Cricetulus griseus: one gene and its partner. The protein of the gene in region 2 interacts with the protein of the main gene of each other region in a pairwise test. Links are inferred from orthologs where the notes say so. Each region holds a gene or a part of one and is shown on either strand. Other genes may lie near its edges.

What was found.
Region 1: the proteins of Wt1 (region 2) and pre-mRNA-splicing regulator WTAP interact in binary tests that used the Homo sapiens proteins (3 or more experiments, as listed by UniProt). The link is inferred for Cricetulus griseus from reciprocal best matches to the Homo sapiens genes WT1 and WTAP.

Annotation. Positions count from the first base shown.
Region 1 is NC_048595.1:288,094,399-288,097,137, reverse strand, and holds part of pre-mRNA-splicing regulator WTAP, read right to left. Parts: intron 1,440-2,739; coding exon 1,285-1,439; intron 1-1,284. UniProt on the Homo sapiens protein: Associated component of the WMM complex, a complex that mediates N6-methyladenosine (m6A) methylation of RNAs, a modification that plays a role in the efficiency of mRNA splicing and RNA processing.
Region 2 is NC_048599.1:72,540,043-72,544,543, reverse strand, and holds the start of Wt1 (Wilms tumor protein), read left to right. Parts: upstream 1-1,590; coding exon 1,591-2,029; intron 2,030-4,501. UniProt on the Homo sapiens protein: Transcription factor that plays an important role in cellular development and cell survival. Recognizes and binds to the DNA sequence 5'-GCG(T/G)GGGCG-3'. Regulates the expression of numerous target genes, including EPO.

The DNA of each region.
Region 1 (2,739 bases), on a different chromosome or scaffold from region 2:
CCACACGATAAGCACTGGAGTAACAGGCCAACTAGCTCCACACCTAGCTTTTTATATGGGTGCTGGGATCCAAACTTAGGGCCTCATTCTTGCATGGCAAGCACTATGCCCACTAAGCTACTTCTCCAGCCCCCTCAAATAGTAAGCACCAGCCACAAAGCTAAGTAGTCAATAAATGTTGTTCTAAAATTGGAATTTACCTGAGGCTGGGCATTGGTGGCGCACACCTTTAGTCCCTTTAGTCCCAGCACTCAGGAGGCAGAGGCAGAGGCAGAGGCAGAGGCAGAGGCAGAGGCGAGACCAGCCTGGTCTACAAGAGCTAGTTCCAGGACAGCCTCCAAAGCCACAGAGAAACCCTGTCTCCAAAAAACCAAAATCAATTTACCTGGAATTCTAATAATTTTAATCACTATTCAAGAATGAGTTTGGAGGGTAGCTGGATGCTTTAAATATATTAAAGTAACCAAGTTAATTGCCAACCTTCCTGCCTCATATAATTGACAACAGCCATGTAAAATCTTAACTGTGCTGACCCGAGAGTCCCTACTCTTCACCCTCAGCCAGTGCCTTAAATTAAATCTACAGCAGGTCCAGCCCTCAGGATAATATTGGTTCTTTAACCCCCCCCAAAGAGGTCTGTTCCACACACAAGAAGACAATTATATAAAAAATACCTGGGGATGGATTGCTAAAGTATACAAGTCCATTAACTTTCTGAAAAGACTTTGAGAAAAACAGCCTTTTAGTTGCTACTTACCATCTCCCACTTACCATGTTTACAAATAGTAAAAGTGAAAAGCGACAGTATTACCCACCAACCTGCTTTGCAACCAACCAACCAATATACTGATTCCCAGTTTGTATGTTCACAGTATGGTCCCATTTTTTACTATTAATCCACGTCACAAGAAAAAAAAATGCAGCTACACTTGAATAAAAACAGGACTATGGTAACAATTACATTTGGTTTGTCTTAGCAAATTTAAATACCGAATCTCCTTTTTTATTGATAGGACCTCAAGGAAATATAACTACGTTACTTTCTGAGCACAGAAATATCAAAGTGTTTCCAAGATTCACATTTTCTAAAGTTCCCAATATCTATTAGTACGTTGGGGAACACTCTAACATCAATTAAGTGGCTTTGCTTTACACGTCAATGGTAGGTGTTGCATGCACGATTCTCAGTAGCCAGCACATGCACAGACACTGATGTATGGCAAGCCTGGTAGCCTTTAAAGCCAATGCAAAGACAGGCAAACTTTAAACAACAAACCCCCTTACCATCCTGACTGCTTTTAAGCTCCTCACTATATTTCTTCTGTAAAGCCAACTCTGCTTCAAGCTGTGCAATACGGCCCTGGGACAGCTGCCTTCCAAGCTCCTGGTTCTCCTGGATAAGCATTCGACACTTCGCCATTAACTTTTTGCCTGTTTGGCTGCAAAGGAAAGAGCCAATCATCACAAAATGAAGACAAAGCTCTCTATAGCCTTTGCTCACAACCATTACAGCACATGTACAGAACATAACTATGTCACAGCAGATGCCACCCTGTAATTACCATCTTCTTTTCTGGAACATGTCCATCTTCTGCACTTCGGTATTTACCAATAGAGCAGCAAAAATAAACCTTAAACAAAAAGGGCCAAAGAGCCACTTTTTGTTTCTGCTGTATCAATGTTTTCATCCTAAATCATTATTTGAAGTATAAGCAGGCCATTTCACACATATCTTGGAAATACTGTTAATGTAACATGAAGGTACTACTCTTTATCAAACAAAGGTTCTTTAAAAGTATGTAGAGTACCAATTACAAATGTATGCCTCTTTACCACCCATAAAATACCTGTAAAGGAATGAGAACATATTCTTACTAACAAACACACATAAGGGATTCCTTTTAATAGGTAGCTCTCTGGTACGGGTATCATCTATATAAGAATATAGCTTTTAAAGGACTTGCCAAATAGAAATCCATTAATTCTTGATTTAACTTAACTGGAACATAATTTTTGTTGTTGTTTTTATATAGTAGAGAGTAGAGGATAACTGAAATTACAATCCTCCTACCTCTTAAGTACTAGGATTACAGGAGTGAGACACTATGCCTGATGAGCATTTTAATACTGGCATGTGATTAAAGACTGTATAATCCCAAATCACAAAGATCCAGGATTATTTTCCAAACCTCAAATTATCTGTCAGATTAGGAGCACCACACTTAAAAAAAAAAATATATATATATATATGTTTACAGTGTTCTGCCTGCATATATGCCTGCAGGCCAGAAGAGGGCACCAGATCTCATTACAGATGGTTGTGAGCCACCATGTGGTTGCTGGGAATTGAACTCTGGGAGAGCAGCCAGTGCTCTTTAAGTGCTGAGTCATGTCTCCAGCCCCGCACCATACTTTTGAACACTTTAATTTTCAAATAATAGGGCCGATGCAATACAAGAGAACCAACAGAGTAATAAAACTGAAGCAACAATCCAGTAAAACTTCACTGCTTTTAGCCTTGGCAATAACAGCAGAAATTATAACTTTAAAGGTATTTGGCTTCAATTTGCAATACTGACTTTGAGATGTACATATGAACAATTTTACATTCTTCTCACTGGGTTAACACCAGAATGTTCTCACTGCATAAGAACACTTCTGTACTGTTACATTCTTCCTAGTTGGGGGATTTGCACTTGCCAGATACACATAGTCCATCTGATCCTAGCAGACACTAGA
Region 2 (4,501 bases):
GATCCCACTGCTTTAGAAGTCTTAAACCAACCCAAACTCACCCCCAAACACCTGTTCTGAGGCGAGGGAGTCCCGAACAACTAGAAGGTGGAAGGAGGAGTTGTTTTTGGGAAGCCATTCTCTGGGAACTCTCCCAGCTCTGCGAACACTCCTGTAGCCACCGGCCAATGGAGCTGCTCCCCGACCCATTTCTTGGTTATCCTAACTGGTTTGCAACCCCCAATCAATCACCACAGGTCCATAATGGGTCCTTCCATCTCTAGAGGAAGCATTGCTTGGCAACATAGCTTTCTGGGCCACACTCTTCCTGCTGATTTCGTAGCCACAGCCTCTCCATTCCCCGTCCTTTCAACCTGGCGCTAGAACATTCCCATCAGTATCAAACCAGGTTCCGGGCATTTCTGCTAAGAGGACCGCCCACAAAACAAACAACCACCACCAACAACAAAAGCCAGCTGCAATTTCCTCCAGTTAATATAGATCTATTAGATACTTCTTGCTGCAAAGGGCCAGTAAGTGTCGTCTATGCTGATTTTAGGTAGGCAGCAACAGCTTCCTGGGTTCCAGCCTCACCAAAGAATCAATTACCAGACAACTGAAATCGTCTCGCGTGTCACAACTGACGTCACACTTCACAATTACCATGCGGAACAATTTCACCTTGAATCTCAACCTTTTGACCTCCTAAAGTAACCCCCCGAGGTTAGGCTCTGGGGTTCTGGACATGGGAAGGCTCAAAGTTAGTCTATTCTCCTCAGAACCCAGGAGAATTCTCTGGGCTCTCTGGTTCCCGCCCTCTTGGAGCCCACCCGCCCCTCTCTCCACCCCACCCTCCACCCCACCCTCTGATTAACAACCCGGACTCTACTCCCACCTCGATCTGGCGCGCTGAGGGGCTCACACTACTTACCTAGAGGGCCTTGCCTAAAGGCGCCTACACTCGGGAAGGCCAGCTGGGAAGGCAAGGGGAGGTTTGCTATACAGGCCAGCTGAGAGCACGTGGTGGACCAGAGAGGAGGGTGTCTCTGAGTTGAACGCTCCCTCGGGCCCGCCCCACACCCCTGCTACGAGTACCCCGAACGAGTGGTGCGAGCTGCCGGGGCAGGCAAGAGCTGGTGTGTGAATGGAACGGCCGCGCATCCTGGCTCCTCCTCCTTCCCCCGTTGCCGGCCCCTCTTATTTGAGCTTTGGGAAGCTGGGGGCAGCCAGGCAGCTGGGGTAAGGAGTTCAAGGCAGCGCCCACACCCGGGGGCTCTCCGCAACCGAATTGCCTGCCTGCTCCCCCTTTCCCTTTCCCGCCCTTCCTCCCACCCACTCATTCACCCACCCACCCAGAGCGAGGACGGCAGCCCAGGAACCCGGGCCGGCCGCCTCCTCGCCGCGATCCTGGACTTCCTCCTGTCGCAGGAGCCGGCTTCCACGTGTGTCCCAGAGTCGGCATCTCAGCACACCCTCTGCCGTGAGCCCGGGTGTCTTCAGCAACAGGAGCAGCCGGGGGATCGAGGCACCCGCAGCACCTGGGCCAAGTCCAGTGCCGAGAGTCCACAGGATCGCAGGAGCGGAGGGCCGTCCGGGTCCGAACCGCAGCTGATGGGTTCCGACGTGCGGGACCTGAACGCTCTCCTGCCCGCCGTGTCGTCGCTGGGCAGTGGCGGCGGCTGCGGGCTCCCCGTGAGCGGCGCGGCTCAGTGGGCGCCGGTGCTGGACTTCGCGCCTCCGGGCGCCTCGGCTTACGGGTCGCTGGGCGGTCCCGCTCCTCCGCCCGCTCCGCCGCCGCCTCCGCCGCCACCCCACTCCTTCATCAAACAGGAGCCCAGCTGGGGTGGCACCGAGCCGCACGAAGAGCAATGTCTGAGCGCCTTCACCTTGCACTTCTCTGGCCAATTCACCGGTACAGCTGGGGCCTGTCGCTACGGACCCTTCGGTCCTCCCCCGCCCAGCCAGGCGTCCTCGGGCCAGGCCAGGATGTTCCCCAATGCGCCCTACCTGCCCAGCTGCCTGGAGAGCCAGCCCACTATCCGCAATCAAGGTAAGGAGTCCGGACAACCGGCACACCACATGCGGCTGTGGCTTGGCTTCCTCGTCCAACGCGGTTTCTCCTCTCTGTTCCTTCCAGATCCCAGCTCTCACCCAGCTGCTTTCCCAAAGAGTATGAAAGGAGCGGGTGTGTGGGCAGGGGAGAGTGGGCTCCGTGAAGTGCTAAGGCACACACACACACACACACACACACACACACACACACACACACACACACACACACACACACACACACACAGCTGAACAAGACCCCAGAGTCCGATAGTTCGCAGGACCCGGGAGGACATTTGGGGTCCCAGGATCCCTGAGAGACTCTGGGACTCCACGGGAAGTAGAAGGGGGCATTGGTTGTAGCGGGTGGCTCTATATTGGGGAAATGTCTGATGCCCCACCGAATTACCACCAGGCTTCGGCCCTGTTAGATTTCAAGGGTAGAAGGACTTAGAGGACTCAGGAGTCGGGTCAGCATTTAGGGACCCCCTGTAATGCCTCTGACAGAACCAAACCCCAAGAACCTCTAGCTCTCCCCAGGAGCTGGCTTACTTCAGGCCCACCAGAAGCAGAAGGGAGCTTCAGAATGCGGGCTTGACACTTAGGGGACCGTGTAGGGGTTTGAGCATAGTTTGTGGAAAAGGTAGTACTGTGGGGATCGCTCCAGGCCACGCAAAGTCGCAGGCTACGCAGGCGCAGGCGGCGGGAATGGAAGACAGCCTGGCTTCCATAAGAAACCAAATCCGTGGAGGGAGTCTGGGAAAAGTGACCTTCTTTCAGCGCTCCTCGGATGCTTCCTAGTCACCCGGAGGTTAGGCTGGGGAAAGGTTCGTAAGGTGTGGATGTTGGAACAAGAACAAGTGTATTGGGGGATCTTCAGCCAATGTACAAGGGACCTTGTATGAAATAAGTATATTTTCTAACTCTCTCAGTCCCCCTCCATACACCTATCCGTCGTTGGCACCCTGGCAGAACCATGGTTGCTGAGCCACTGTAGTTTTCTTCTTTTGTTCTCATTTGATTTCTTTGCTGTTGAGAATCTAATTTGGTTTGATTCGATGTTTTGGGAAAATACTTACTAACACAAAGGCGATGCTTTTCTTGAATCAAAAATTCTGCTGTCCTAGGTCTGGGTGTTTCTGAAATGTGTGGGAAGGGGGACGCCGGGCCGGTACTGTTTGCTGCGGGAGGTGAGGAAGCGTTCTGGGGCCTTCTGAACCCATCCAGCAGCCCCTCGACCACCCGACGCTCTAGTGAAACCGAAACCACTGAAGAATGGGAGCTGCTGGTCTCAAGGAGCAACCTGGAGAGGACTCAGAGTATCCCTCCCCTCTAGGTCTCTCATAAATTAGTGTTTTGTACAAGAGATGTTGGAAGAATTTGCTGCCTTTGCAGAGGCTCTTGGACCGCGCCATCACTTTCTAGTAGGCAGGTGTTACTGCTGGCAAACCTCCGGGTCAGTTTGCTGATCTCATAAGAGGAGAGCTGAGATGGGTTAGGCCGAAAGTTACAGGCCAAACACGAGAAACCTGACCAGTCTCTAAATACAGAACATACAGCTCACCTGAACCTCCCTGGGTCAGAAACCACGCCACTGTCAGGCATGTGTATGACTTCAGTGAGCATGCCTGTTTTTTGGAGAGACTCACTGACCTATAACCCTCAGGGAAGCAAATACTAATATACCACCATCCTTTTGAGTCCTTCTAGGCTCACAGGGGCTTTGTTATTGTGTGTGTGTGTGTGTGTGTGTGTGTGTGTGTGTGTGTGTGTGTGTGTGTGCTTAGCATGGGGGGGGCATGCTTAGCATTCTGCACTGCAAGTCTGGTAGAAGCCGGTAGGAGAAGGTGGGTGGGACTGAGAATTTAAAGCCCGAGGACATTACCATTACACTTGCAGGGGGGGGGGGCGTGTTCCAGATTCTTCTGGAGTAGACAGGTAGGACTGCTACTGAAGAAAGAGCTTCCCGAGGAGCTGAGGACCAGGACCAACCTGTGACACCTTCCCACCACGCTCTGCTCTTCTCATGCCACAAAGGAAAAGGCCGGTGGGGAGGTGTCTTCAGGGTAGGGTCATACCATGGAAGCAGGTTCCTGTCAGGGAACTTACCCTTTTCTCTCCTAGTTAAAGCAAGTGGGTTGTACAGGTACAGTCTGGGAATTGTGAAGCTGCTGCCCCCCCCCCCACCAACTCCAGGTAGCAACTAGGGCAGACTCTTGAGCTCCCAAATCCTTTGAATATCCATTCCTTTTACTTCTGGAGTTCCTGTAGGTCAGTTCAATAATTCAGGATTTAGTTTGGGGTTTTGATTGGGAGATGCCAGCTGTCCCTGGAAAGTGTGAGAATGGCCACCATCATGCTTTACTCTGATTCCACTGTGAAGAATTCAAGCTGGCTCTAGTTACCTGTATACAAACCAGGGAGCCTAACTATGACACTCACTCATCCCTTCATATATATATATATATATATA